Struthio camelus: one gene and its partners. The protein of the gene in region 2 interacts with the protein of the main gene of each other region in a biochemical or structural test. Links are inferred from orthologs where the notes say so. Each region holds a gene or a part of one and is shown on either strand. Other genes may lie near its edges.

The links.
Region 1: of the proteins of IKBKG (region 2) and NFKBIA, one has a biochemical effect on the other in vitro, tested with the Homo sapiens proteins (15 studies listed by BioGRID and IntAct). The link is inferred for Struthio camelus from reciprocal best matches to the Homo sapiens genes IKBKG and NFKBIA.
Region 3: the proteins of IKBKG (region 2) and SENP2 form a complex in vitro, tested with the Homo sapiens proteins (2 studies listed by BioGRID and IntAct, with this or other methods). The link is inferred for Struthio camelus from reciprocal best matches to the Homo sapiens genes IKBKG and SENP2.
Region 4: the proteins of IKBKG (region 2) and IRAK1 form a complex in vitro, tested with the Homo sapiens proteins (3 studies listed by BioGRID). The link is inferred for Struthio camelus from reciprocal best matches to the Homo sapiens genes IKBKG and IRAK1.

What each region holds. Positions count from the first base shown.
Region 1 is NC_090946.1:55,426,198-55,433,974, forward strand, and holds the start of NFKBIA (NF-kappa-B inhibitor alpha), read right to left. Parts: upstream 3,001-7,777; 5' UTR 2,965-3,000; coding exon 2,711-2,964; intron 2,416-2,710; coding exon 2,307-2,415; intron 1,858-2,306; coding exon 1,647-1,857; intron 1,147-1,646; coding exon 1,058-1,146; intron 939-1,057; coding exon 678-938; intron 152-677; coding exon 104-151; 3' UTR 1-103. UniProt on the Homo sapiens protein: Inhibits the activity of dimeric NF-kappa-B/REL complexes by trapping REL (RELA/p65 and NFKB1/p50) dimers in the cytoplasm by masking their nuclear localization signals.
Region 2 is NC_090979.1:45,533-52,809, reverse strand, and holds the start of IKBKG (NF-kappa-B essential modulator), read left to right. Parts: upstream 1-4,267; 5' UTR 4,268-4,282; coding exon 4,283-4,502; intron 4,503-5,820; coding exon 5,821-6,037; intron 6,038-6,108; coding exon 6,109-6,156; intron 6,157-6,240; coding exon 6,241-6,364; intron 6,365-6,517; coding exon 6,518-6,627; intron 6,628-6,699; coding exon 6,700-6,840; intron 6,841-6,923; coding exon 6,924-7,020; intron 7,021-7,277. Other genes in the region: G6PD (glucose-6-phosphate 1-dehydrogenase), read right to left, coding at 99-192, 281-406, 486-641, 728-945, 1,029-1,137, 1,229-1,266, 2,888-3,009, 3,781-3,835. UniProt on the Homo sapiens protein: Regulatory subunit of the IKK core complex which phosphorylates inhibitors of NF-kappa-B thus leading to the dissociation of the inhibitor/NF-kappa-B complex and ultimately the degradation of the inhibitor.
Region 3 is NC_090950.1:3,002,183-3,009,703, forward strand, and holds the start of SENP2 (sentrin-specific protease 2), read left to right. Parts: upstream 1-4,507; 5' UTR 4,508-4,525; coding exon 4,526-4,632; intron 4,633-7,521. UniProt on the Homo sapiens protein: Protease that catalyzes two essential functions in the SUMO pathway.
Region 4 is NC_090979.1:146,503-154,172, reverse strand, and holds the start of IRAK1 (interleukin-1 receptor-associated kinase 1), read left to right. Parts: upstream 1-4,658; 5' UTR 4,659-4,668; coding exon 4,669-4,837; intron 4,838-7,032; coding exon 7,033-7,200; intron 7,201-7,670.

The DNA of each region.
Region 1 (7,777 bases), on a different chromosome or scaffold from region 2:
CTGTACTTTTTTTCCACAGTTTTTTTTTTTTTTTAAATGAAGAATGCCAGTCCTTTTCCTATACATATGTACACAGTCACTTCCTTTCACAGAAACCTCTGCTTTAAAATGCCAACTGTCGTCCTCCAATAAGGCAGTCGTCATACATAAGCTATAAGGAGAAAAAAAAAAAAAAATCCCAAAATGCTGTTAATGCAAAACTCTTACTGCGAGTATCATATCTACTCAGCTAAATTCTGCTTGCCCTCACTTCAGTAGCGTGTGAAATTTCTACACAGCAATGGTTACATTTGCTATCATTTGCAATTTACAGCATGGAGAATGTTAGAAAAATAAATTGTGGGGAGGAGAAATTAACTGAAACTTTATGTCACAAGGTTCTGTCAGTATCAGCAACAGGACAATGTTCAGAGAATCATGCTCTGCGAAATTAATCTCCATTCCCTAAGGTTTTTTAATGTTTTATTCTTACGTTCATTCTATTCATACGTTGGCCCAAATGCCCTACTTCCAACGCTTGACATTGTAACCTTACTTTATGGGGATATTTATACTTGTATGTTATATAGGTAAGAGGTCACCCATATGTAATGAGGGCACCAACAAAAAATACAACTTAAACGTATGAAAGGGCAGAATTTGGCCCTTCCTATGAAAAGGTGCAAATAGCTACTTACTTCATCTTCTGTGAATTCAGATTCCGATTCACTGCTCTCCTCGTCCTCGCTTTCTGGCAACAGTCGCAGGTCAGCTGTGGTCAACTCCTTCAGCTGTTCCTGTATGCTGGAGTTCTCTCTTCCCCACGTGAGCTGATACGGGGAATAGCCCTGGTAGGTCACTTTATTCACATCTGCCCCATGTTTCACCAGAAGTGACACCAGGTCTGAATTCTGCAGGTCTACAGCCAAGTGTAGTGCAGTTCTGCCATTGCATGGCTCCTGTATGAAAATAACCCAAGATGTTTCGTGTTAGGAGAGCCAGGCTTGCCCATGTCAGAACTGCTGATTCGTATGACCACACAACCCTGTTCAGCTAAATTCATAGATAAATTACATACCTGAGCATTTACATCTGCTCCTAAGGACAGCAAATATTCAACAACAGCCAGATACCCTTGAATAGATGCCAAATGGAGACATGTGTGTCCTGTAAAATGCAAAGTAAGACAAAATTTGAGTAATTCTTATCTAATGTGTTATCTTTCACTTAAAGTCAGGAGGACAGAATAATTGCAATTTATCCAGGGCAAAAAGGTGTTTTCCAAGAAAGTCTTCCAACTTCCAATACGTATGGGCAACAGGGAAAGATTTTTGGAAAGATTTCTGGAAAGACTTCTTAGAGGCCTTATCTTTATTTCAGTGTTTGACTCCAAATTATTGTAACAAAAAATAGAAACACTCAAAATAAAATATTCAGAGTTAATTAAATTTTGCAAAAGTAGTCATTAATAACACAGAGCTTAAAGTTATGGCAGCCAATGATCATCAGTAAGGAGGCCTATAAGCGAACCAAGGAAATCGGACCCTGCTATGTACTTTGGCTTCCTCAACCTTTTCCACCCTTCCAGAGGTCTTTGAGATCTACAGGACAAGAACCCTGTCCTCAATACAGCATACTGGCATTTTGGTGCAGCAGGCTGTGCGTACCATTGTAGTTGGTTGCCTGTAGGACAGGGAGGAGGTGGTGCTGCTGGCAGTACTGCGTGAGGACGCTGACGCTTCTGAGGGAGCCCTGCTCACAGGCAATATGGAGCGGTGTGTTTCCTCGGAAGTCTCTAATTTCTGGGTCACATCCGGCCTTCAGAAGATTCTCAGCAATTTCAGGTTGATCAGTGATAACAGCCAGGTGAAGCGGAGTCTGCAGACAAAAGGGAAACCGCAGGGTGGTAAGTGACACTACAAACATGGCACACAGCAGCAGCAGCAGCGTCTGCACAAGCAGACCCTCCATCAGTTGGTGATTTCTGCCCAATTAAAACCAAACCCCCTAAACACAGGGTATTGCTATGCTTCCTGATATATCGCACAGTTGCTTTCTTGTCTGGAAGCGATGAACTCTGAGCTCTCCAGATATCAAACAGTCATATGAAGGGTATCACCAACGTGACAATGAAGAGGGCTGTGACCCACTGCATCACATTTAAAAAACGCAGGCATTAAATGCCAGTGCTGGTGAGAGGAAGCGTCACACTAACACTGACTGGAGTCGGCTGGGTGCCTTTCTGAGCGCAGGCTTTGATTTCATATCCATGAAAAAAAATAAAGAGCCTTTTCAGCGGGGCGGTGGTGGCAGGCGCAGACCAGTACCTGGCTGAGGTTGTTCTGGAAGTTGAGGAAGGCCGGGTCGCCGGCCGTCTGCCGGATCACCTCCAGGCTCAGGGCTTTCTCTACGTGAATAATCGCCAAGTGGAGGAAGCTGCAGGAAGGAAACCACCCCAAAAAGAGAAGAATGAGAACCCCCCCGCGCAGGAGCAGCGGTGACGAGCGGGCCGCGCCGCCCGCCCGCCCGTCATGTGCCGCGTGGCGAAACCGGGGGCTTTTGGGCGGCCGGGGCTTTCCGCGGCGCCGCCGGGAGCCGCCTTGTTCCTGGCGCCTCTCCAGGGACTTTCCGCGGCCCCGGCCCTGCCCCGGCGCGGCGCCTCCCGGCCCGCCCGGCGCCTCCCGGCCGGGCCCCCCCCTCCCGCCGCCGCCGCCGCCCCCCAGCGACTTACGTGTCTCCGTCCTCGGTGAGCTGCTGGGCCCAGGCGTGCGGCGGCGGGTCGCCCTGCGGCCAGGCCGGGGCCTCGCGGGGCTGGAGCCGGATGTCCTGCAGCTCCTTCACCAGCTGGCAGTACTCCTCGTCCTTCATGGAGTCCAGCCCGCTGTCGTGGCGGTCGTCCTGCAGCGGCCCCGCCGGGCGCTCCTTCCGCAGCGCCTCGCGGCCCTCCATGGCCGCCAGCTCGGCGGGGCGGGGGGCGCTGATCATGGCGGCGGCGGGGCGGCGGGAGGAGGGCGGGCGGGCGGGCGGGGGGCGCCTCCGCGCCGCGGCTCCGAGGGCGGCGGTTGGTGCCGGCGCTGCAGCGGCGGCGGCTGCTGCTGCTGCTGCTGCTATTACTACTACTACTACTGCTATTGCTGCTGGCGGCGGCGGCTGCTGCTGCTGCTATTACTACTACTATTGCTGCTGCTGCTGCTGCTGCTGGCGGCAGCGCGACGGGCGGGCGGGCCTCTACGAGTGAGCGGCGGCGGCGGCGGCGCGCCGCATATACACCGGGCGGAGGGGATTTCTGCGGGGGAGGAGCCGCCGCGGCCGGGAATTTCCAGCCACTCAAAGGGCCGACGGACGAGTCTGGTCCTGCTGGGCGCCGCGGGCGGGTGGGCCGGGCCGGGCCGGCGAGGGGAGGGGAGGGGAGGGGGCCGGGCTGAGGCGGCGCGGAGGAATTCCCTGCGCCCGCCCGGCCTCTACTGCAGCGGGAACTTGGCGTTTTTCCACGGCCGGGGAAGTACTGGGCCGCCTGGGTGACTAACCCCGCTCCTGCGGTGCTTCCCTGCTGCGCCTCGGGTGACTGCCCCGGCCAGAGCTGCCCTGGGGCTTTCCCTGCCCTCCCCGCCGGGCCCTGGGGCGGCACCGGCGCGGCCTGGGGTCCGGGAGAGGGCAGCGCGGTGCTGGCCGCCCGTCCTAAAACGTGACGGTGTCGTGATGGCGCTAACTTCTTGGCGCAGCAGTTGTTGGGGAGGTTGAGATAGTGCTGCGCGCCACCGCGTCTTAGAGCCCGGCCGTGCCGGCGGGCGGGCTGGTGTCGCGTAGCTTGTGCTGCCTCGCATGCGGCGTGTAAAGGCTTCCGCACCTTGCAGCTGGTGGTAAGTATCCGCTTAGCTTCCGCGCAACAGGATCAGGAATAACAGAGCTGTGCTCCGTGCCTGTACATCCAGTTCTCGTCAAACAGGCTTCTTTCAAAAGACACGTACCAGTAAATGAACGCACCTTTTAAAGGAAGAAATAGCATCTCCTGGCATTATTCCCCCTGCACCCATTTCTAACTACTCTTCTTTGATCGTCTCTACTGATGTCACACCAGCCACGGGTAATGAAAACGCTGGGTAAACGCAGGCTCCCACATGGATAAAAGACCTTGTCTGCTGGACTGGCAGTGGTGATTTTTTCCCTGGTGAATTTTGCTGCTGCTTCTCAGATGTGGGGGATTCCCATTAAGAATTTTTCATCCCTTGCAACTATTGCCGGCCTCACTGACTAATATTGTCTGAGATTTTTTCTTTTGCAGTTTTCCCATGGGATGGTATCCCTTTGAAAAAAAATTGGTGAGAAAATCCAAAGATGAAAGGGGGCGCCAGAGGAGAACGGCTGGCTTGCTGTGAGCAGATGTTCCCAAGCTGCAGCCCAGCTGTACCCTTCCTGGACTTTTGTTCATTATTCACCATTAGGCCTGGGATAATCCACTGGTGGTTTTGGGGCAGGTTTAGAAAAGCTATACAGCTCTTTCTTTTATAGGTTAAGGGTTATGAAAGTGTCATGACTTTCTGGAAAAAGTTTCCCCTTCTTAATGTAAATCGGCAAGGGAAATTTACTTAACAAATGACTCTCCGACCTGCTTCTGTGCAAAAAGTGAAGACTGGGGTTTGAAAGCAAGTGCCTTCTATCTACTATCTAACGATCGGGGACTAAAGTGCAGCGAGAATGAAGCTGCCTTCAGTCAGAGTTTTGCTGGAGCCACATAGAAATTAAATTTGAAAACTCCCCCTCCTCACTGAGGTGGCTGGAGCCCGAGTTCAGCCGAACAAGCCCCTCGGCGCCTCCTTCCATTGCTGACCTCCAGCTGCTGTCACAGGCGGACTCGGGGCTATTTTTGGAGAGCGTTTGCCAGCAGAAACCTCTTTTTGGGGGCACGCGTGTTTCGATGCTCTTATCTCTGTGTACCTCTGCACGCAGTGCTACGTCAGCCAGCTGGAGGGGACAGAAAGGAGATGGAAAATGACTTCTCTGTGGAAAGTCGTGCCAAGATTAGCCTGCCTCCTGCCCCCAAAAACAGCACTGGCTGCAGCCAGGCGCAGGTCCCGCTCTGCTGCCCGGCCCCGCTGCGGCTGCTGGGCCGTCCCCGGTGCAGCAGCCGTGCAGACTGGTTTTCTTCATACTGAGAAAAATGACATCCTCGGTGGTACAAGTAGCTTTCAGTGCACCCAGACGTGGGCCAGCACCCCAGGGTGTTAGGCAGCCTTCAAGCGCGGGTCAAAAAACAACTCCAGCCCATGTGGACAGTAACAGACAACCTGTGGGTGCAAGGGCAGAGGGAATGCATGTTAAAAAAAAAAAAAGTTATCTTTTCTGTGACTTCTCACAGCTAACAATGTTGTTTTACACTATTTGCGGAACGGGATGGAATGAGCTGGTGGAAGGCAATACAAAAGAAAGGTTTTGAAACTGTGAAGAGGGCCACGGACACTGCTTTTATGCTGCTGAAATACCTGTCCTTTTTTTTGCAAATTAACACATTCTGAATTATTCTATGCAATTTTCTACACAGTCAGCATGAGTGAATAAAAATACAAATAAAAATACAAGGAAGGAACAAACTCAGCTTTTGGATACACATTTTTTCCCCTTTTGGTCATGTACCGTCTGTCTCAAATCTGCTTTCATATGCAGCCTGTTGCCTGGTGTTACTTGGGGGGGCTGCCAGGGGATGGGGCCAGGCGTTCGTCCCGGGGACAGAGGGCAGCGCATGAAACCCCAGGATCAAATTTAGCCCTCCTGAAACGGAGCAAAACTTTATGAACACTGCGGTCGTTTTTGTCAAACTGGAGGCCTGATGGTCCTCTTGTTTATTCTGGCCTGATACTCCGCTGTGAATGTATAAATTTTGCAGCAGCGCTTCTTATGCTCATCAGCTTGAGAGGAGACTGAGGTTCTCTGCATTTTTTATGTGAGACTGTGTTAGTGGTCTCCACACCGGCATGACCAAAGGAGCGGTTTCATCTTGTTCAGAAAAGGACGTCTGCAGGGGTGTCTTGGACGTCTTGCAGGGTCCAAACTGGTGTGGTTCTTTGTTACACGGGCACCGTAGTACGGAGGGCATTGCAAGACCAAGTGGCTGCCTAAACAGCTCTTTGACAAGGTAAAAGGCTGCAACCACGCAAAGTGATTTTGCGCCTGATACCTAAAGCCTGGATTTTGCAAAAGTCTCCTCCGCTCTGGGTGTCTTGACCGCTCCATTTGCAGTGCTGTTGGGCTGCAGGAACGACGTGTTTGTTTTTATTCTGACTTGCAGCACGCAGCTGGCAGGGTTTTGAAAAGCAGCCTTGCGTGCCTGAATACTGAAAAGGGGCAGTAGGATTTTAATCAGTTTTTAAAGTACAGGAAAGATTCTCGTGCTGCTTTCTCAAGCAAACACATTAAGCTGTAATTTCCTGATTGCCACACTAATCATGAGAGCTGTCTAGTGCTGTTGCTGTGGTGCTGTTGATTACCAGCGTTGGTTCCTCAACTTCGTCCTTCTCTGATGGCTGCTGCAGATACCTATTAACTATTTCCTCCCATTTAATCTCGAGGACGATGCAAGTTTAGCAGTAAACATAACAGGAAAAGTAGTTCACAACATTCAGCAGGACCTTGGCCCAGGCTGCTGAAACCATAAGCAAAGCAAAAGAGTTGTGTAAAAGTGCATTTCTTCTGCTCTCAGTCTGGCAATCTGGATGCATACATGTGGTGTAGCTACCTCTTACCTGACCCGTATGCTCTTTGGAACAGGGCTCCGTTTCACTGCTCCAAAAAATTAAGGACCTTGCTAGGGCAACGGAAGCCAGAGAACACCTCACATTGTCATTCAGATAACATTTTGCAACTAAAATTGGCACATTTCAGCCTCCCATCTAGAGCTGCTACAGAGATGAGAACTGGGCAGCTGTCAGATTCAAACAATTTGCTGGACTCTAGTGTTAAACAGCGAGAACAGGAAAATATCCTCCTGCTTTCTAATAATAATTTGGCTGTTACTAACTTGAAGCAATAAAAAAAAATGGCCAAATGAGGTCATGGAAATCTTAACCAAAGTTCATTTTTGTCAGCCTAGATGGGAGCTTCTGGGTTTTACACACGCTGTGGCCTCTGCACCTATCTCGTCACGCATTTTGATCAGAGGTGGCCATGTGACAGGTGCTTCAAATAGTATGTTAGTCACAGTATTTCTCTGGCTTATTCAGGCTGACATAATATCCAAGCAAACAGTGCTGGAGGGACCTTTTGGCATATAAAGCTAAGGTCCAGATTACGGGATTTAAAATCCTATGTATATTCCACAGATACAGAAACGGAGTTAACGCGGGTGTCCTGGCCAGAGCCTGGTGAGGTTTGTTGCATTACTTCTACCCAGATTTGCAGCTACTACTATGGTCTCCTTTGTTTTTATTTTTAGACTGAAGCTTATTTCTGGCATCTCTTAAATTCATGTGTTGTGTCCCAGGGAAGATCTGCATTTCTCTGAGTGAACTGTGGGCTGTTTATATATAAATTTGTTGCATTTCTGGAGATCCTTAGGGATGAGATGTATCATATAAATTTAAACTGCTTTTATTGTTATGCCTTAAGAGTAAACATAGCTCAGTTCATTTGAAAATGGCTGCTGCTTGGAAGACAAGTTTTCTCTAGTGTCATTCCTATTTCTCACATGGAAGTTTTGTTAAAGCATGCAATATGCAATGCTTATTCCTTAAGCTGATGCTTGTTTCTTGATGCAGCAAAGCTTGCTAGCGTTCGTGTTTCACATAGGAAAGAAGAGGCTAGGGGT
Region 2 (7,277 bases):
GCCTGAAGGCCCGGAGGGTCGCCGAGAGCCTGGGGGCGGCGGCGGGGGGCGGCTCGGGAGCCCACCAGAGGCTGCGGGGCGGGGGGGGGGGGGGGCACCTTCTCGTCCCGCACGTCGTCGGGGTCGGTGGAGGCCGGCTTCTCCATGGCCACCAGGCAGAGCATCTGCAGCAGGTGGTTCTGCATCACGTCCCTGCGGCGAGACGCGCCGTTGGGGCAGGGGGGCCGGGGGGGGGGCACCGCCGCGGCCCCCCCGCCCGCCGCCCCCGCCGCTCGCTCACCGGATGATGCCGAAGTCGTCGAAGTAGCCGCCGCGGCCCTCGGTGCCGAAGGGCTCCTTGAAGGTGAGCACGACGCAGGCGATGTTGTCCCGGTTCCAGATGGGCCCGAAAATGCGGTTCCCGAACCTGGCGGCGGGTGGGTGGGTGGGTGGGTGGGGGCCGCCCGGACCCCCCTTCCCCCCCCCGCGGGGCGCCCGGCCCCCACCTGAGCACCATGAGGTTCTGCACCATCTCCTTGCCCAGGTAGTGGTCGATGCGGTAGATCTGGTCCTCGCGGAAGAGGCCGCTGATGTGGTCCGAGAGGGCGTTGGAGCTGGCCAGGTCGCGCCCGAAGGGTTTCTCCACGATCACCCGGTTCCAGCTGAGCGAGGCGGGGAGGAAATCGCGGCGCTTAGGGTCGCGGCGGCGCCGCCGGGACCCCCGGCCCCCGTCCCGCCGGCGGCTCACCCCGGCCCCATGCAGGCCTGGCGGATGTGGCGGGTGACGGGCTCGTAGACGCTGGGCGGCAGGGCCAGGTAGAAGAGGCGGTTGGCGCGGGCGCCGCCGGGCAGGGCCCGCAGGTGGGCGTCGAGGCGCTCGAAGGCGCCCGCCTCGCCGTACTGCCCCGCCACGTAGCTGTTGCGGGCGAAGAAGGCGTCGAGGCGGGGGCCGTCCTCCGGGGAGGCCTGCGGAAACGGGGTGGGGGGCATGTCAGCGGGGCGGCGGCGGCGCAGCGGGGGCGGCGCGGGGGCGGCGGCGGCGGCGGCACCTTGAGGTAGGGCTGGCTCTGCTGGCGGATCTGCGCCACGCTGAGCGGCGTGCGGGCGAAGCCCACCACGTAGGTGTCGTCCGGCAGCAGCCCGTCCCGGAAGAGCCACCTGCGGGAGGAGGACGGGCAGCGTCGGCCGCCGGCGGGGGCAGCGAGGGCACGAGCTCGGGGGCGGCGGCGGCGCGGGGGGGGGGCCCTACCAGACGGTGGGGTAGATCTTCTTCTTGGCCAGGTCGCCCTGCGGGGGAAACAAAGAGTCGCGGGGCTGAGACCGGCCACAACTCGGTCCCGCGATGGCCGGCCCCAGCCTTCCCCCCCCCCCACCCACCCCGCTCTCGTTAGCGAGGGGGATTAACGAAGCGCGGGGAATGTGCTGAGTCAGGGGTGGCGGCGGGGCAGGGGGGAGCAGGGACGGGACGGCGGGGACGGCGGTGTCCCCGCCCCGGCCGCCGCGGGGTTACACAACGCCTGGGGTAGGCGGAGCGGGGGAAGGGGGGGTGTTTAATTAAGGGGTGTTGGGTAACGAGGCGTCCGGGCGCGGCGGCCCGGCCCCACGTGGGAGCCCGGCCCCGGCACGCCGCCGCCGGCTGACGGGGAAGCGCAGGAAGCCGCTTATCTCCGGCAAACACCGATAGCAGGGGGGAATCCTCACCCCCCCCCCCACCGTGGGCCCAGGCGTCTGGGCAACCCCCCCCCTCCTCTCACCTCAGGGGACCCAGGCGTCCGGGCCCGCCTCCCCCCCCCCCCGCCATAGGGAAAACGAGCATCCCGGCAGCCCTGTCCCGTCCCACCGCCCTCAGGGGGCCCAGGCGTCCGGGCACCCTTGCTCACATCCCCCCCCCCAACCCAGGGGTCCAGGTGCCCCCCCCATGGGGCCCAGGTGTCGGGGCAACACCCCCCACCCCCCCGATACCCCGGGGTCCAGGTGCCCCCCCCACCCCCAACGGGGCCCAGGCGTCCGGACAACTCACCCCCCCCGATACCCCGGGGTCCAGGTGCCCCCCCCACCCCCAACGGGGCCCAGGCGTCCGGACAACTCACCCCCCCCGATACCCCGGGGTCCAGGTGCCCCCCCCACCCCCAACAGGGCCCAGGCGTCCGGACAACTCACCCCCCCCGATACCCCGGGGTACAGGTGCCCCCCCACCCCCAACAGGGCCCAGGCGTCCGGACAACTCACCCCCCCCGATACCCCGGGGTCCAGGTGCCCCCCCCACCCCCAACGGGGCCCAGGCGTCCGGACAACATCCCCCACCCTGATACCCCGGGGTCCAGGTGCCCCCCCCATGGGGCCCAGGCGTCCGGACAACATCCCCCCCCCCCCGATACCCCGGGGTCCAGGTGCCCCCCCCACCCCCAACGGGGCCCAGGCGTCCGGACAACATCCCCCACCCTGATACCCCGGGGTCCAGGTGCCCCCCCCATGGGGCCCAGGCGTCCGGACAACATCCCCCCCCCCCGATACCCCGGGGTCCAGGTGCCCCCCCCACCCCCAACGGGGCCCAGGCGTCCGGACAACCCACCCCCCAGTACCCTAGAGTCCAGGTGCCCCCCCCAATGGGGCCCAGGCATCCGGGCGAAACCCCCACCCCCCCCCGATACCCAGGGGTCCAGGTGCCCTCCCCCCTCCCTCCAGGGACCCAGGCGTCCGGGCACCCCCTTCCCGACGGGGCCCAGGCGTCCCGACACCCTTTCCCTCCCCCACAGAGAAGTCAGGCCACCAGGGCCCAGGCGTCCGGGGCCGGGACGCGATGCTCCATCTTCTTCCTCTTCCCCCCCCACCACCACGCCCCACACGTAGGGGACCCAGGCGTCCGGGCCGGGAGCAAGCCCCCGCCCCCGCCAGCCCCCCGGCTCACCGAGGCCCCGAGGATGACGAAGACGTGGGGGTCGCCCTGGAGGAAGGTGTCGTCCCGGCACAGCTCCTGCCGCAGCATCCCGCACACCTCCGACCGGCTCAGCTCCTGCCCCGCCATGAGCCCTGGGGGCGACGGCCAGGCGGGGCTGGGGGGGGGGGGCCGGCCGTCGCCGCCTCCTGCCCCACCTCCCGCCCCCTTCCCTCCCGCTATTGCCCCACGGCTGCCCCCCAACACCCCCGTTATTGCCCCAGCCCCCCCACTGCTTCCCCCTCTGGCCCCTGTAAACCCCCCACCCCCTCCCACTGCCCCCTAGACCCCCCAACTGCCCCAGACCCCCCCTTGCCGCCCCCAAATACCCCCTTTTACCCCCCAGCCCAGCTACCTGCTATTGCCCCTGACCCCCCCTTGCCCCTTCTCACCCCATTGCCACCCCCCCTTGTCACCCCCGCTCCCTATCACCCCCCATTTCCCCTAATCGCCCCCAACCCACCTGCCCCCGTTTTCCCTCATTGCCCCCCATTTCCCCCAATCGCTCCCCAGTTTCCCCTACCTGCCCCCATTGCCCCCAATTGCTCCCTATTTCCCCTCATTGCCCCCTATTTCCCCAATCACCCCCTATTTCCCCCGACTTCCCTCATCTGCCCCCCATTTCCCCCTATTGCCCCCCATTTCCCCCTATTGCCCCCCATTTCCCCAATCGCCCCCCAATTTCCCCCCTGCCCCTATTGCCCCTCATTGCCCCCCATTTTCCCCAATCACTCCTCATTTCCCCCCATTTCCAACTGCCCCCCCGCAATTACCCCCACCTGCTACCTCCTCCCCGCCCCCCGCCTCCCATCCCCCGCCTAATTACCCCTAATTGCCCCGCTAATTACGCCCCGCCCCGCCCCCACCTGCTCCCTCCGGCCGCGCCGCCGCCGCTCCCCTCACGCTCGCGCGGCTCCCCATTTTCCCCGCGCCGGCCCCGCCCCACCGGCCCCCCTCTCCCGCGCCGGCCAATCGCCGCGCCGCACCCCGCCGTGCCACCAATGGGAAGGGCCCGGAGGCGGGGCCTCGCTCACCGCCCCGCCCCGCCGGCCAATGGCAGGCCCCTCCACCGCCCCCACGCGGCGGGCTCTTGCGGGCGCAGCCAATGGGCGGCGTCGGGGGGCGGCCCGCGGCGTATCCCCCTCCCCCCCGCCATCCGCCGTGCGCCATGACACCTACCGAGGCGGAAGTGCTTCGGTGCGCTCCCGGCGGCGCTTCCGCTTCCGGCGGCGCTTTCGCTTCCGGCGTCACTTCCGCTTCCGGCAGAGGCCGGAAGGGCGGCCGGGCAGCGCGGCGCTCGCAGGCCCGGGCGGCCCTCGGCGCCCCCCGCCGCTCTCCCCTCGGCGCCCGGTGCCGGCAGGCGGGCGGATGAGCGGCGCCCGGTGGCGGCGGCCCGCGGACATGGTGCAGCCCGGCGGCGGCGGCGGCGGCGGCCCCGGGTCGGGGCCGGCGGCGGGGCCGGAGCCGGGAGCGGCGGCGGCGGCGGTGGAGGAGGAGGAGGCGGCGGCGGCGCCGGGCCGGGCCCCGCCGGAGCCGGGCAGCCCCGAGGGGCTCCAGCGCCTCCTGGCCGAGAACCGTGACCTCAAGGGTGAGGGGGGACCTGGGCCTCCGGGGGCGGCGGCGCTGGGGGCCCTGGGAAGTACTGAGGGGTGAAACTGGGCAGACTGGGAGGTACTAGGGAGCAAGACTGGGGGGCTGGACTAGGGGTACTGGGAGACACTGGGAGGTGAGTCGGGGGGGACTGGGAGCTGCGGGGGGGCTGGTCTGGGGGCACTGGGAGGCACTGGGGGGGTTAGACTGGGAGGAACTGGGGAACTGAACGGGGAAGCACTGGGGGGGTTAGACTGGGGGGACTGGGAGGTACTGGGGAGCTGGACTCGGGAGCACTGGGGGGGTTAGACTGGGGGGACTGGGAGCCGCTGGTGGGTGAATCTGGGGGGCTGGACTGGGAGGCTCTAGGATGCTGGGCTGGCACCCAGGGGTGCCAGGTCAGCGGGGCCGAGACCCCCGCTGACCCCCCCGCCGTGTACCCCCCTGCAGAGGCGCTGCGGCGGCGCTGGGGTGACTGGGGGGCGCTGGGGGGGGCCGAGGCCCCTGCTGACCCCCCCCGTGTGTCGTCCCCCCCCCCGCAGAGGCGCTGCGGCGGCGCTGGGGGGCGCTGGGGGGGCCGAGGCCCCGCTGACCCCCCCCCGTGTGTCCCCCCCCCCCGCAGAGGCGCTGGGGCGACTGGGGGGGCGCTGGGGGGGCCGAGCCCCCGCTGACCCCCCCCCGTGTGTCCCCCCCCCGCAGAGGCGCTGCGGCGCAGCAACGAGGCGCTGGGGGCGGCGCTGGGGTGACTGGGGGGCGCTGGGGGCGGCGCTGGGGTGACTGGGGGGCGCTGGAGGCGGTGCTGGGGGGGCCTCGGCCCCCGCTGACCCCCCCCCGTGTGTCCCCCCCCCGCAGAGGCGCTGCGGCGCAGCAACGAGGCGCTGGGGGCGGCGCTGGGGTGACTGGGGGGCGCTGGGGGTGGCGCTGGGGCGACGGGGGGGCGCTGGGGGCGGCGCTGGGGGGGCCTCGGCCCCCGCTGACCCCCCCCGTGTGTCCCCCCCCCCGCAGAGGCGCTGCGGCGCAGCAACGAGGCGCTGGGGGCGGCGCTGGGGTGACTGGGGGGCGCTGGGGGCGGCGCTGGGGTGACTGGGGGGCGCTGGGGGCGGCGCTGGGGGGCCGAGGCCCCCGCTGACCCCCCCCCGTGTCCCCCCCCCCCGCAGAGGCGCTGCAGCGGCGCTGGGGTGACTGGGGGGCGGCGCTGGGGTGACTGGGGGGCGCTGGGGCGGCGCTGGGGCGACTGGGGGGCGCTGGGGGCGGCGCTGGGGGGTGCTGGGGGGGCCTCGGCCCCCGCTGACCCCCCCCGTGTCCCCCCCCCGCAGAGGCGCTGCGGCGCAGCAACGAGGCGCTGCGGCGGCGCTGCGACGACTTCCGCCGCTGGCAGGCGGCGCAGCGGGACGAGCGCGACTTCCTGCTGGGCCGCTTCCGGCAGGCCCGGGCCCTGGTGGAGCGGCTGCGCGCCCGCCCCGCCGAGCCCCCCCCCGGCCCCCCCGAGGGGCAGCGGGAGCAGGAGGAGCAGCAGGAGGCGGCCGCCGCCGGGTGAGGCCGGGGGGCCGGGGGGGGGGGCACGCCGCCGGCCGGCCCCCTCCTCACCGCTCTCCCCCCGGCAGGAGCGCGGCGGAGCTGCTGCGGCGGCGCCTGGCGGCGGCCGAGGCCGAGTGAGTGGGGCGCCGGGGGGACGGGGCGGGGGGGGGGGACGCACGCGGCGGCCCCCCCCGACGCCCCCGCCCTGCCGCCCGCAGGCAGGCGGCCCTGCGGCAGGCGCTGGAGGCGGCGCGGGAGGCGCGGGCGCGGGCCGAGAGCCGGGCGCAGGAGGCGGCGCGGCAGGCCGAGCTGCAGCTGCAGGCGCTGCGGCGGCAGCTGGAGGTAGGTGACGCCCCGCCGCCGCGCCGGGTGACGCGACGCCGCCGCGCCGGGTGACGCCGCCGCGCCGGGTGACGCCCCCGCCGCGCCGGGTGACGCCCCCGCCGGGTGACGCCGCTGCGCCGGGTGACGCCGCCCTCCGCCCCCCCGCCGCAGCAGGACAAGGCGTCGGTGAAGGCGCAGGTGACCTCGCTGCTGGGCGAGCTGCAGGAGAGCCAGAGCCGCCTGGAGAGCAGCCGGCGGGAGCGGGGCGAGCTGGAGCACAGGTGGGGGCGCGCGGCCCGGCCCCCCCCCCGCCGGCCCCCCCCCCGGCCCCGGGGTGACGCTGTCGCCGGCAGGGCCCGGGCGGCGGGCGAGCGGTGCCGGGCGCTGGAGGAGGCGGCGGCCGCCCACAGCCTCCAGCTGGACCAGCTCCGGCTCCAGGTGCAGAACCTGGAGGCCGCCCTGCGGGTGGAGCGCCAGGGGGCCACCGAGGAGAAGTGAGTGACGCCGGGGGGGGGGCTGGGGACAGGCGGGGGGGGGGCGCCCGCCCGGCCCCCTCCTCACCCGCCCCGGCCCTCAGGCGCAAGCTGGTGCAGCTGCAGGTCGCCTACCACCACCTCTTCCAGGAGTACGACACCCACATCAAGGCCAGCCTGGGGGACGACAAGCGCACCCAGGTGGGCGCGGGGTCCCCACGGCGGCTCCCGAGCCCCCCTTTCGTCCCCTTGGGGACCCCAGGGTGGCTCCTGGTCCCCTTTCTGGTCCGCTCAGAGCTCTGGGTGGCACCAGGGTGGCTCCTGGTCCCATTCTGGTCTCCTTGAGGACCCCAGGGTGGTTCGTGGTCGTCTTGGGGACCTCAGGGTGGCTCGTGGCCCCCTTTCTGGTCTCCTTGAGGACCCCAGGGTGGTTCGTGGTCCTCTTGGGGACCTCAGGG
Region 3 (7,521 bases), on a different chromosome or scaffold from region 2:
GTTAGCCAGCTGAGGGACCTCCCTGCCCTGCTTCCAGAGTCCTCCTCAGTCCACACAGGGGTGGAGAACGCTGTGGTGGACCTTCTCAGCTGATCGAAAAGTGACATGATGACAGCCCGTGGGCAAGGAAGAATGTCTTGGAGATGTTAGTGGGCAGATGAGAAGACAGGCATGAATGCAAATTTGCCCTTCTTAGCTGAGGTAGGAGGTCAGTCAATGCCCTACAATTTTAGAGCTTGAGAAACAGAATGTGGTGCTTTAAAAATAGGTTTTTTATTCAGTAATGGGTTCTCTGTACTCTGCCCAGAATGACACGCGAGTGTAAAATGGAGTCTGCCTTCTGGACTGCTTATCGAGGGGACAGCAGCCATTTTACGGGGAAGGCACAGACAAGCTGAGAGGTCCTCAAAGAAAGGTCATCTCTACTCCCACAATGTGCTGTCACGTTTCATGTTCACATGCACGTAAGATTACCCAGCCAGACACACTGAAGACACGGGCACTTGAATGAAGTATGTCCCACTGGCTACAGCAAAATGTAAACACGTGCTCAAATGGGTTGCTGAACAGAGATGTGCTTACATTTATGTACATACGGACCAAGAAACCAAAAGGGATAATAAAGAATTAAGCTGTGAACTTAACCTTCAGCTATGTAAATTACAGGGAACAAAAAATATAACCAATGTGAAACAGTATTATAAATGCACTTTAACTACAGGCACTGTGTTATAAAGTGTAATCTTGCTGAATTGGGACAGTGGAAAACAGCAGGCAAGTTTCAGCCTCAGAGTTATCTAGGATGAAAAATATTTTTTCCAACCACTTCTGCTGTCACACGATATCCCACTTGATAGAGTGTGATTGTATAAAATGGGCTGACCAGCCAAACACATACTAGTCATAAGGTAGCTATGTTGACAAATTGAATCATATTTAGTGGGATTATACCCAAGGCAAAGAATTCTGAAGATTAGTAACTGAATGTGAAAGCATCAGCAAATGTATGCTGCTGAGACTCGTACTGCTGGTTTGGGAGCGCTGTGCTCCAAACCCACAATTTAAACTCCTCCTCTTTGCAACTGGGAACCAATATTTGTATGAAGTAACTGAAAGCATGAGCACTGACAGCTAGATTGACGAGATGACCAGCGCTGTACTAGGCTAGCGCAGCACACATTGGTTGCTTTGTAGGGCACAATGCCTAGGGCTATCTATCTATCTAGGTACTATGCCACCTTGACATCATCTTAAACTCATGTACAATAAAGAGATTTTAATGATAAGTATATTATAGCTATGCTTTCAGATACCTAAAATTACCATTCATCTATTTCCAAAATTAATTATTCAAGTGGCATCACTTTATCATGATCATGTAACTCCATGTTAACTCTCCTCATGTGTCTAGGACAAATCCTTTGGGTTGTACAGGCTTATATGGATTTCAAAATGGAGCCTTGCAGTTGCATTAACCCTGTTTTTACTGACAGTTACTTTTCAAGCACGCTCACAGACATAAATACGGACCTTTTGTGAAGCATTAAAATAATTATCCTCGCACTATTCTTGTGAGGATAAGGAAGTGGTGTTATCAGAAGTTTGTTTAAAATAAGGGAAGCTTGTTTAAAATAGCAAACAGATTTCCTGACGAGAGTTCTCTTTTTTTTTTTTTTTTTCTGAACCTTAAGACTTCTCCTGCAATGGGTTAGACCACATGATGGGGGAGACTGCAGCTGGGGTGACCACGCCTGCCAGAGCAACTCCTGCACGCATGAACCCTGCTCCAATGCATGTGCTCCCCAGCTGCTCTGCTGCCATTTCCCTGTGCCAGGACTGCACATCAGCCAGCTGGACGCCTGCGCTTGGCATCGGGCAGAGCCGGAGAGAAGCCACTGCGCTGTCTGTGCTGCCAGCGCATCACCTGCAGACAGGGAAGCAAGAAGTGCAGGACAACTGAGTGAGCCTTATGTATGACAAGCCTGCCTTGGGTTCAGGGAAGACCCCTTTCCCAAGAGTCCAGCCTTCCTCTTTTCCATGATTACTGGATTGCATTATGTTGTCTAGTGAGTTCAGTGCTCTTGCTTTCTATCTGCACACTTCACTGTGCACTGAAACAGCAGTGTCGCAGGTAAGTCTTGACTTTGCAGAGCTAAACCTCATGCCTTTCCTTAGGCAGGGATTTAAATAAATTTCCCTGCACCCACTCCATCTCTCTGCTGCAGGATTCACCTAAAACATACAGGCCGGGCAGAAATGAAAGATGGAATAACTGACTGGAAGAAGTATTTCCAAGCCACAGGCTCACTGCAGGCCCTGCATGGTGCTGCTGTGCCCTCTGCTGGACTGCTTCTCCAGACCTTTGCAGGCCTTGCTGCACCTCATTTAAAGCCTTCCCACATGCTGCCTTAGTCCCTGCGCCACTGGGTGCTGACCCATCTCTCAAATTGAAGCTTTGTGTCCAAGTCTCAGTCATTCCCTTCCTTGGCCAGTGCCCTAAACCGTAAATGGAGCGGTAATTAAGTTCCTAGTATAATGAGCAAGGTCATTTTAATATAACAAGGCTCTTTGTACCACCGTCATTTATACTCCCTGTAGGCATGAACAGCTAGCGGGTCCTCTTGCAACAAGTGCATCCTGTGAAAGCGCCTTCCCTGTTCCAAGCACATTAGTCCTCCCAGCTCACTAAGGCTTTATTCTGCAGCTTCCTTAAGGCAGTTTAGTTTTCTTACACTTTATTGTTTTCAGTTCTGATGTGGAAAGTCTCTCCAGGAGGTGGCTACAGCAATGCCTGCAGCATCCCCTGCTGCCAGCACAGTGGATCGTCTCAGTCTCCAGTGTAGCCATCAGTGCACCTTTGAGTTCCTGCAGTCATCTGACCTCTGAACAATGAGTGGCCATTTTGGAAAAGATGTAATTGATAAAGTTACACAGGCAGCACACCCCCACCCCCACCCATGCTTTGGGTTAAAAAAAAAATAGAAAGAAAGAAAAAGCCAAAAGGCCCAACTAAAAATGAGATCTCTTCATTCTCAGCTGATTTTTGAAGCCATGAAAATATTCACTTTTAAGGTGCCTTTTTTCCCCCCAGAGGAACCCATAAAGTAGACATTGGCATCTCCGCAATAGCAGAGCATGCGAGCACACCAAGTAGCTGACCACTCTAAAGGTCAAGCAACAGCACCTCAACTTTCCTTAACGATGGATGGGCATGACCCCTGTTTTTGAACAGTCGGTCTCTTTGATGAAACTGTGGAGAAACTGAATAATCCAAGGAGCGGGCAGTCATATTAGGTAAGTCATGTATTAACCTGAAACTAAACTGCTGTGAGATTTTGAGTAATCGTCCAGGCAAGAAGTCTTCCCAGCCCTCCCCACCTCTCATGCAACCATGTCAAGAGGGTCAATGAACCCCCTTTGTACTATCCAAATAATTGGTCCAAAACCAGTGATTTCTACCACAAAGATAATAGACAATATTTGTCAAGCCTCCTCTCTTGTGACTGTCTGCTAGACCAAGTGATCAGCAAGTACCAAGAACTCTGTTAACAGCAATGCAGAACAAGGTATTGCTCTAACAGCAAGCCAAACCTATCAAGAGAGTAATCTACCAGAGAAACTTCAGTGTGCCCACTCCAGAAATCTTAGACGCCGAGCAAATCACACGGCAAGGCAAAAGCAAAGGGAGCAGCAGAGAGAATGGGCTCAAGAGCTCTGTTGCTGAAGCAGGGCAGGACTTTGCAAGGCCAGGATCTGGATCTCCAAAACACCTGCTTGGAGACTGCCAGGGAAAAGGGCAGATACTGGCTCCAACGTGCTCTTCGAGTTGCTTGATCTCCCTCACCATTGTCCTTCTAGTGATAACGCCGCAGTGTTACTCAGGCCAAAGACCTCTTCCAGTCTTTTGGGATGGCGCACGCTTCTCCCACACAGCAGGAGCAGCCTCTCTTCCCCTTCCACGTGGGACAAGGGACACCAAGGACCAGGAAGGGCCCAGCAGCTCCAGGCTGCTGCCTCCCTTCTCCGGGCACCGGGGGCTGTAAAACCCCTGGAGCCCAGCAGGCCTCGGCACGCAGCTCTGCCCTCTGCTCCACGCAGAGGCCTGTGCACCAGGCCCAGGAGCACCCCAGCGCCTGCCCGGGCTGCACCGAAAGACAGGAAAGCTCTGAAGGCGTCGAATAAAGCTTCTGCCAGCGGATCAGCTGCTGCTGCTCCTTCTTCATTCCTCCTCTTCCTCCCCCCCCTCCCCTCCCCTCCCCGCCCTAGGCGGAGGGGCCAGGCCACGGGACGGCAGACCGCCCCCCACCCCCCCCCGCCTCCACGAGGCGCCTCACGCCGCCGGCCGCCGAGCGGCGCGCATGCGCTGTGCGCCCCGCCCCCGCCCGGCGCGCAGGCGCCCCGCTTCCGCCTCTGCTTCCCGCGGGGGCGGGAGGCCGCGCGCCGCCACAGCCAATGAGGGGGGGAGGGGGGGAGCGGCGGGCCGGTCGCGCGGGATGCGCGCACTTCCGCCGCGGCGGCCGGGCCTATGTACCAATGGCTGCTGGGGGCCCTGGGCGCCCTCCTCGCCGCCGCCCGCCGTGCCGCGCCGCCCCCGGCCCCGCCGCCGCCGCCGCGCAAGAGGCCGCCCCGCAGGTCAGCGAGCCGCCCCGCCGCGCCCCCTTAGCCGTGGGGCCGCCCCGCCGCTCCGGCTCCCTCGCGCAGGCTCGGCCGCAGCCGCCTTGGCCTCCGCCACGGTGCCCGCCGGCGGCGGGGCCTGGCCGCCGGGGAGCGGCCGCCCGGCGGGCCTCGGTCGCCTCCGCTCTGGGAGGCGGAAGCTGAGGTGGTTGCTGTGTTGCATCGTAAGCTTAGGCCCGGTTTTGTCTCGTTCCCTGGGGTTTCTCTCATTCCTGCTGCTGTCTCTCTGGGTCTGCCCTGGCCCTTGGCCCGCTCAGAAGCCCTGTTCCCGGGCGGCAGGGCTGGCGCCGGGCCTTTTTAAGGCGTCTGCATCATCCAGCATCCTTTTCCGCCCTGGCCCTGGAGCCGGTGAAGCAGGCTGGGCTGCAGTGCTCGTTCTTGCCCCAGGCTGTTGGCCTTTTTGCCCCTCCGTGGCGCTCTGTGCTTACGGTCACGGTTACTTTGCGTGTCCTGCGCAGATCAGTTTGACTGCTGGATGTGCCTACTGAGTCCATTAGCAAACTCCTCCCCTTGCTCACTTTCTGTCGTAGTGGGGGTATGAAGGCAAGAGATTTGGAGCACGTGTGTTTTCTTGGAGCAGGAGGGACAATGTATGTGTATATAGGGTTTTATTGGATGAGGGAAAGTCATGACGGGGGATAGAAACGTGAGGATCATAATATGGTTCGCATATGTATACAGAGCGGAAGAAAGGGGGATGCTGTCACAGATGTTCACTGTTGGTGTTTCTAAGTGACCTGGAGCCCTGGCTGATGGCTGAACCATCTCTGTGCCTGTCTGAAGGGAGCGAGCGTACTGCTTGCGTGCTATGGTTTGCCAAGCATAGTCACTTCCTCTGTGAGGAGCTGTTGCTCCAAGAGGTTCTTGAGGCTGTGCTTAGTATCGGGCGTTTCAGAGTGAACGTGAGAAGTGAAGGTGTTCTGAGCTTGAAAGAACCAGTTGCTGCATAAGTAGTTTTTCACAGCTGCTGTGCAGTAAACAAAGAGCAAAATCCCAAACTGAAGAATTCACCTTTGTAGACACCACAGACTTTTATTTCATAGTTTGGCCAGGAAGGCTCTGTTGGCTAGCTGCTCACTGGAAATAACAGTGCTAAGCAAGTGGGATGAAAGGCAAATGAAACTGCATTAGGTGGCTTCAGAAGCTGTCCTGCTGCTGAATATAAGTTTTCAAACATTGTTAACTGAAACGTGCTGTAAAATGGCAAAGATATTGTCAGGTCACCTTTGTGAGTTTGTTCAGGGAAATGTAAAGCACAAAACTCAGCTGTGGATGGGGCAAGTGCTTATTAAAATTCAAGTGGAGCAGAAGAGTGTTTTCAGCTAGCGTTGTAGCACGATAGGTGCAGGAAAGTTTTGAGCTAGGAAAACTCCCATTCACTGTTCAAAACTAAAGCAACAGGTGAACAGCGAAAGTAACAAAACAGTGAAAGTCCCCCAAAAGTTGCTTGCTTTGCTACTTATAGCCCCTTGCTGTTTTCCCATAGTAGAAAGAGGAAAAGCTGGGGCTGGTGAAACCGGTGGGGAAAGCAGATACACATAGCTACTACTGTAGAGCACTGCTGAAGTGCAGTACTCAATTTTCTTTGATTAACCTGTGAAAATTTGAATTTATCTGCAGCTTTATATTATAAACCTTAATGAACTGTTCTCTGTGCTCTTGCAGGGCAGGGAGGGGGGTTTGAAAAGAACAGAGCCTGAGCTTACGCACATACATACATACATATATATATATATATATATATATATATAGCATTATTGCACTTTTCTAATACCTTATTTTTTTTTCCTGTGGCTGCTGAAGAGGAAAGTAAAATGATGGCCACAAATGGGTGCCGTCTCCCCTAGAACAAGGGGAAGGATGCGAGCGTATCCTTGCATGTACAGCAGTCTCAAATGGCTCATGTTTTCTGGCCTGTTTTTTCAGCTTGTTTCAAATATTGTTTGACATCAGTGTCCTTATTCCTGTCACCCAGACCCTTGGTAAAACCTAGATTGTAATGACAGAGCGTAACCTCCTCAGAGGAGGTGTTTGCATTCATGTTGGAGACAAAGGTAGCTAAGCATAGATTCATTTCTTTCCTAGCTGCCGTCTTTTACCTGTCTGCGTTCCCTGGCCATGCCTACTTTAGACAATCAAGGAGTTCCGAATTTACATCTGAATTACCAAGAGATAATTCATCTTTCCCAGTGATCAGACTAATTCTAAACACCCAAGTATTTGATAAATTAAAAAAGGACAAAATAACGCTCTCACAGATGTTTAGTGCTCTGCTAAAACTGGAGGATGATGCATTTCTGTTCAAGAGCAGTTACTGTTACCACAGGCACGTATTTAAACTATGCTTACCTCAAAATGTAGCATTGAGAAGGGTGAACTGTACTTTGGCTCTGCTAAGACTAATGCTGGAAAATTTTCACTGAAGACCAGCTCAGAATGAAACTTAGCTCTTGCTTTACAAAAAAAAAAAAAAAAGATCAGGAGGACACAGACATATTTTTATCCTCTTCAGTTTTACCTTCTGAAATATCAAACTTGCACTTAACACCTGCCCCCCCATATTTTCTTCCTGCCTTTATTAGCATATCAATAGCTCTATATGAAAGGTGCAGTTAAGGATATCAGTTATGTTTGAAGAGCTTTTCGTGCACCCGATAGAAAAGGAAGATAGTCCACTAGTGATGGTACCAGCTTTGTTTGGGAGCGTAACAGTTTTAAAGGAATTATTTTGTTGAAGAAAGACCAAAGAATCCTTACAGTGCATCACAGCCTTTTTGGAAGCAAAGGGAAAAGCCATTAGAAAACACTGTCTGTTCCCAAAGTGAAACCTTTTGCAATGCTTCCTCT
Region 4 (7,670 bases), about 100 kb from region 2:
GCACGCTCGACCGCGTGGCGCCGCTGCCCGGGGGACGACCCCCTCCAGCAGCGGTCGGGGCGCTCGTGCGAGGGGGGCGCTCGTGCGGGGGGGCGCTCGTGCGGGGGGGGCGCGCGCGCGCGGCCTCGGCTCGGCGCTTTACTCGTTCTTCCAGGTTTATTTTTGGGGGGTTGTTTTTTTCCACGTTTTTAGCCTAGGGAACCATTTGCACTAACCAAGCCGTGGACGGAGGCGCCGGGGGCCCCCCGGGATGTGCCTTTGCCCATCCGCCGCCGTGCGCCGGCCCCCCTCCCCGGCTTGGCTACGGCGCGCGGCGGGATCCGGTCTCGGCCCGCTCCGGAGCGACTCGGGATTGGGGCGGGAGCCGGCCCGGAGCCAATTGGGAGTGACTCGATGGAGTGGGATCCAGTCTCGAGCCAATTAGGAATGAGTTGGGGGGGGGGGCAGGTCCAGTGTTGATCGAAGGCTGAGTCGCTCCGGATCGGGGTGGGATCCAGTCTCGAGCCGGTCAGGAGCGACTCTGGATTGGAGTGGGATTTGGTCTTGACCCAATTGGGAGAGACTCTGGATTGAGGCGGGATCTGGTCCTGAGCCAGTCAGGAGTTCTCCCAACTGGGGCGGGATCCGGTCTCGAGCCAATCCGGAGCGGCTCTGGATTGGGGCGGGATGCGGTCTCAAGCCAATCTGGAGCGGCTCCGGATTGGGGCGGGATGCGGTCTCGAGCCAATCTGGAGCGGCTCCGGATTGGGGCGGGATCCGGTCTCGAGCCAATCTGGAGTGGCTCCGAATTGGGGAGGGATCTGGTCTCGAGCCAATCCGGAGCGGCTCCGAATTGGGGAGGGATCTGGTCTCGAGCCAATCCGGAGCGGCTCCGAATTGGGGAGGGATCTGGTCTCAAGCCAATCCGGAGCGGCTCCGGATTGGGGCGGGATCCGGTCTCGAGCCAATCCGGAGCGGCTCTGGCTCAGGGAGGCCCAGCCTCTGTGCAGTTGGGAGTGACTCCGCACTGCAGGCAGGATCTGGCCTCAGTCCAGCCAGGAGCAACTCTGGATTGGGTCGGGATCTGGTCTGCGCCCCAGCAGCCCCGGAGCAGGTGGGGAGAGCGGGAGGAGGATCCGGCCGTGGGCCAAGGAGTAGGGATTGCGGATCAGGGCGGATCCGGCCTCAGCCCGACTGAGAATGACTCTGGGTTGAGACGGGATCTGGCCATGATCCAATTGGGAGTGACTTTGGATTGGAGGGGCGGATCCGGTTTCCATCCGGTGGGGAGTGACTCTGGATTGGGGCAGGATCCGGTCTTGATCCAGCCGGGAGTAACGGTGGGCTGGGCTGGGATCTGGTCCCACCCCAATCCGGAGTGACTCCGGATTGCACCGGGATCCGGTCTCGAGCCAATCCGGAGCGACTCCGGATTGGGGGGGGGGGAGGAATCCGGTCTCCGCCCAACGGGGAGCGCCTGTGCCGCCCCCCAACACCGCCCCCATTCGGGGGCCGCCCAAAATCATGCGCGGGGGGGTCACCGCCCCCCCAATCATTCGAATCATGAGTTTTTCCCCATTTCCTCGGCCGAGCCGGGGTCGGGGGGGACTCCCCCCGTCCTGCACTTTACCGGCCCCCGGGAGCGGCGGGGGGGCCGTTTCGGGGGGTCACCGCCCCGGGAAGTAGCACTGGCGCGAGGTTCTTCCACGCCGCCGCGGGGGCCGGGGGGGCCTGCGCCCCCCGTCTTCCCCCCGCCAGGGACTGTTAGCGCTCGCCCCCCCCAAACTCGCCGCTTTTGGGGGTTCCCTGTTATTCCGTGTCCCCCCCCCGCCCCGGTTCGTCATGGCAATAAAGGTGGGGGGGGGCCCGGCCTCCCCGGCCCCCTCCGCGGCCCGGGGGGGGACGCGGCCCCGTCCGCCAGAGCCCCGGTCCCCACCCCGCCCTGTCCCCTTCCCCCCCCGGCAGACCCGTTTTTGCTAAAAAAACAAAAGAGAAAAGAGCAAAAAAAAAAAAGAAAAGAAAAAAACCACACACAAAAGAGAGCCGAAGTCGCGCCGGGGGGGAGCAGGGCCGGGCCCCCCCGGCCCCGAGCGCAGAGGCAGCGAGTGGGTGCGAATGTAACCGTCCGTGTGCGGAGGCTCCGGAGATAACCCTGTACCTATTTATTATATATATATACGACAGAAGACGTTTGCCTTATAAATTTACAAGAAAAACCACGGCTGTCGATTCTTTTTGGGCGGCTTCGCGGCGTCCGCGGGCCCCGTCCCCCCGCTCCGCTCCCCCCGCGCGGCGGCGGCGGCGGCGCCCCCGCTCCCCGCTCCCAGCAAAGTACTCGGCAAACATGCTCTCCGCGCTTTAGTTGCATCTCTTGTTGGTAAGTACTGTAACCTGTGCTAGATTTGATCTATAAATCTGTGTAAACCCAACGCCAGGCTCGTCTGCCGTCATTCATTAACCGGCACGCGGGGGAGAAGGGCCCCGAGCGGCTCTGGCTGCCCGCGCGGAGCCGGAGCCGGAGCCGGAGCCAGAGCGAGCGGCAGCGCCCGCCGGCCCCGCGGCTCGGGCGCATCCGCAGACGCCGTGGCCGGGCGGAGGTTTCCAGTGCCGGATCAGCGGCGGTCGGCGCCGGGGACGCCGCAGCTGGGCGGAGGTTTCCATCACCGGTGGATGGATCCAGAGAGGCCATGGCCAGGCAGAGATTTCCATCACCGGTGGATGGATCCGGAGACACCATGGCTGGGTAGAGATTTCCATCACTGGTGGATGGATCCAGAGATACAACGGCTGGGTGGAGATTTCTATCACCGGTGGAAAGATCCAGAGACACCACGGCTGGGTAGAGATTTCCATCACTGGTGGATGGATCTGGAGGTGCCACAGCTGAGTGGAGATTTCCATCACTGGTGGATGGATCCAGAGACACCACAGCCAGGTGGAGATTTCCATCACCGGTGGATGGATCCGGAGATGCTGCAGCTGGGTGAAGATTTCCATTGCTGGTGGTTGGATCCAGAGATGCCATGGCCGGGCAGAGATTTCCCTCTCCGGATTGCCAACAGTTGGGTTTGGAGACACTGTGGCGTGGCAGAGCTTTCCATCTCCGGATCGCTGGCGAATGCAGAGTGGCTCCATGTCATGGCCACGTTGGAAGGATGTTGATCAGCCTTGGGTGGATCTGAAGTGAATCCAGATCGCCAGCCGGTGATCTAAGGTTGCTCAGGAGACAGCAGCTCGGGTAGATCCTCCAGCTTGGGTCATGCAAGTGACACAAGATCCCGAATCCGTCTGCAGACGCCAGGTCGGGGCAGATCCTCCATCTCCAGCAGGAGATCTGCAACGGCTCGAGTTGCACGTAGGTCCATCTGGCTTGGGTGGATCCGGAGTGGCATGAGATCCTGGGCAGATCTTCCAGCTCGAATGGATCTGGAGCGACTCCAGATCACGACAGTTCCTGCGCTGGAGTCACAGCATCCCGGATCTCATCCCAGGCTCTGATCCCAAGTTGCTCTGCTTGGCACCAGCTCCCCGCCGCGTTGACGGGGAGTCGCTCCGCGTGGTGGTGCCGGAGCCGATCCGGAGCTGATCCACGTGGTGGTGCCAGAGTCGATCCACGAGGTGGTGCCAGAGCTGATCTGGAGCTGATCCACGTGGTGGTGCCGGAGTCGCTCCACATGGTGGTGCTGGAGTCGATCCGGAGTCGATACGCGTGGTGGTGCTGGAGTCGATCCGGAGTCACTCCACATGGTGGTGCTGGAGCCGATCCGGAGTTGATCCGCATGGTGGTGCTGGAGCTGATCTGGAGTCGATCCGCGTGGTGGTGCCGGAGCCAATCCAGAGCTGATCTGCGTGGTGGTGCCGGAGCCGATCCTGAGCTGATCCACGTGGTGGTGCTGGAGCCGATCCGGAGTCGATCCGCGTGGTGGTGCTGGAGCTGATCCGGAGCTGATCCGCGTGGTGGTGCTGGAGCCGATCCAGAGTCGATCCGCATGGTGGTGCTGGAGCTGATCCGGAGCTGATCCGCGTGGTGGTGCTGGAGCCGATCCGGAGTCGATCCGCGTGGTGGTGCTGGAGCTGATCCGGAGTCGCTTCCGGCCGCTTCCATCCCCATCCCATCCCCATGCCATCCTCAAGTCCGGAGTGAATCTGGAATCACTGGGGGGGGGGGGGACCTGGGTGTCTGGGCAGCTGTGACATCATGGCCTTGATGATGTCATCGTGGGGCACCTCAGTGATGTCATCGCCTGGATGATGTCATCGCGGGGAGGGACCTGGTGAGTGAATCACTGCACACGGCACAGGACTCCCACCCCACCTCGGAGCCCCGCCCCCTTTGCCCCGCCCCGCCGAGCAGCCCCACAAGCCCCGCCCCTTTCGGTCAGACCACGCCCATTCCTCAGCGTGCCCTCCTATCGCCCCGCCCCAGCCCCGCCCTTTCCCACCATCCTCCCCCCGAGGCGCCTCGCTCAAGATGGCGCCCTCGCTACACCCCTTTCCGTGGTGGGGGGGGGGGTGTCTTCCGCCACACCCAACGTGGCGCCCGCGCCGCCCGGTAACCGGGCCGCTGCGGGAAGAGGCGGCACTTCCGCCACGCTAAAGATGGCGGCGCGGCTGGGCCGGCGCGCGCTTGCGCAGTAGGGCGGCCGCTCTTAAAGGGGAAGTGACCCGCGGAGGGACCGGCGGGCGGGCATGGCCGGGCCGGGGCCGGGGCCGGGGCCGGGGCCGGGGCCGGGGCCGGGGCCGGGGCCGGGGCCGGGGCCGGGGCTCGGGCCCTTCCTGTACGAGCTGCCCGCCTGGCTCATGTGCAGCTTCTGCCGCCTCATGGACGCGTTGAGCCACTCGGACTGGGAGCGCTTCGGTAACTGGGCGCACTGGGGAGGACTGAGAGCGGACTGGGGCGGGCTGGGACGGACAGAGATGAACTAGGGTACATTGGGACTGGACTGGGATGGACTAGGGTGTACTGGGAGCGGACTGGAATGGACTGGAAGGGATGGAGATGGACTGGGATACACTGGGATACCCTAGGACTGGACTGGGATGGATCGGGATACACTGGGATAGGACTGGGATGGACTGGAATAGACAGGGATGGACTGGGACACACTGGGACTGGACTGGGACAGACAGGGATGGATCGGGATACACTGGGACTGGACTGGGATAGACAGGGATGGACTGGGACACACTGGGACTGGACTGGGACAGACAGGGATGGACTGGGACACACTGGGACTGGACTGGGATAGACAGGGATGGACTGGGACACACTGGGACTGGACTGGGACAGACAGGGATGGATCGGGATACGCTGGGACTGGACTGGGATAGGGATGGACTGGGACACACTGGGACTGGACTGGGACAGACAGGGATGGACTGGGACACACTGGGACTGGACTGGGATAGACAGGGATGGATCGGGATACGCTGGGACTGGACTGGGACAGACAGGGATGGACTGGGACACACTGGGACTGGACTGGGACAGACAGGGATGGATCGGGATATGCTGGGACTGGACTGGGATAGACAGGGATGGACTGGGACACACTGGGACTGGACTGGGACAGACAGGGATGGATCGGGATACACTGGGACTGGACTGGGATAGACAGGGATGGACTGGGACACACTGGGACTGGACTGGGACAGACAGGGATGGATCGGGATACGCTGGGACTGGACTGGGATAGGGATGGACTGGGACACACTGGGACTGGACTGGGACAGACAGGGATGGACTGGGACACACTGGGACTGGACTGGGATAGACAGGGATGGATCGGGATACGCTGGGACTGGACTGGGACAGACAGGGATGGACTGGGACACACTGGGACTGGACTGGGACAGACAGGGATGGATCGGGATACGCTGGGACTGGACTGGGATAGACAGGGATGGACTGGGGCAGACCAGGATGGATCGGGGTGGACAGGGACCTGACTGAGGTGGACTAGGACATGACTGGGACGGACTGGGACCTGACCAGGATGGGTCGGGGTGGACAGGGACTGAACTGGGGTGGACTGGGATGGACTGGGACCTGTCTGGGATGGACTGGGACCTGACTAGGATGGACTGGGACGGACAGAGACCTGACAGGTGGACTGGGACCTAACTAGGATGGACTGGGACTTGACTGGGACGGACTGGGACAGCCCGGGACGAGTTGGGGCGGACAGGGACTGGACTGGGACGGACTAGGACCTGACCGGGACGGGTCAGGGTGGACAGGGACCGGACTGGGACGGACTGGGATGGACTGGGACCTGACTGGGATGGACTGGGGTGGACTGGAATGCGCCGGGACAGGTCGGGGCGGACAGGGACTGGACTGGGGTGGACTGGGACCTGACTGGGATGGGTCAGGGCAGACAGGGACTGGACTGGGAGGGACTGGGACGGACTGGGACCGGACTGGGACCGGACTGGGACGGACTGGGGCTGACTGGGATGCGCCGGGACAGGTCGGGGCAGACAGGGACTGGACTGGGGTGGACTATGACCTGACTGGGATGGGTCAGGGCAGACAGGGACCAGACTGGGAGGGACTGGGATGGACTGGGATGGACTAGGACCTGACTGGGGTGGACTGGGACCCACCGGGACGGGTCGGAGCGGACAGGGACTGGACTGGGGTGGACTGGGACCTGACCGGGACAGGTCGGGGCAGACAGGGACTGGACTGGGGTGGACTGAGACCGGACTGGGATGGACTGGGGTGGACTGGGACCTGACTGGGATGGGTCAGGGCAGACAGGGACCGGACTGGGAGGGACTGGGATGGACTGGGATGGACTAGGACCTGACTGGGATGGACTGGGGTGGACTGGGACCCACTGGGACGGGTCGGAGCGGACAGGGACTGGACTGGGACCTGACTGGGACGGACTGGGGCTGACTGGGACCCGCCGGGAGGGGTTGGGGCAGACAAGGACTGGACTGGTGTGGACTGGGACCTGACTGGGACGGACTGGGGCGGACTGGGACCCGCCGGGACGGGTCGGGGCGGCCTGGGCCTCGGCGGGCGCTGACCGCCTCCGCCAGCCTCGCGGGTGGTGCGGGACCAGGTGGAGCTGCGCCTGGCGGCCGCGACCTCCAGCCCGACCCACAGCGTCGTGTGGGGCTGGAGCCACCGCAACGGGCGCCTGGGCGAGCTGCTGGCCCTGCTCCGTGAGCTCGACCTGCGCCGCGCGCACGACCTCCTGGCCGCCTGTGAGTGCCCCGGGATCCCCAGATCCCCCTCGGGATCCCCCATAACCCTCCAGGTCCCCCTGATCCCCTCAGGATCCCCCAGATCCCCCTCGGGATCCCCCTCGGGATCCCCCATAACCCCCCCAGTCCCCTCATTCCCCCCGGGATCCCCCAGATCCCACTGATCCCCCTCAGGATCCCCTGTAACCCCCCCCAGTCCCCTCATTCCCCCCGGGATCCCCCAGATCCCACTGATCCCCCTCAGGATCCCCTGTAACCCCCCCCAGTCCCCTCATTCCCCCCGGGATCCCCCAGATCCCACTGATCCCCCTCAGGATCCCCTGTAACCCCCCCCAGTCCCCTCATTCCCCCCGGGATCCCCCAGATCCCACTGATCCCCCTCAGGATCCCCTGTAACCCCCCCCAGTCCCCTCATTCCCCCCGGGATCCCCCAGATCCCACTGATCCCCCTCAGGATCCCCTGTAACCCC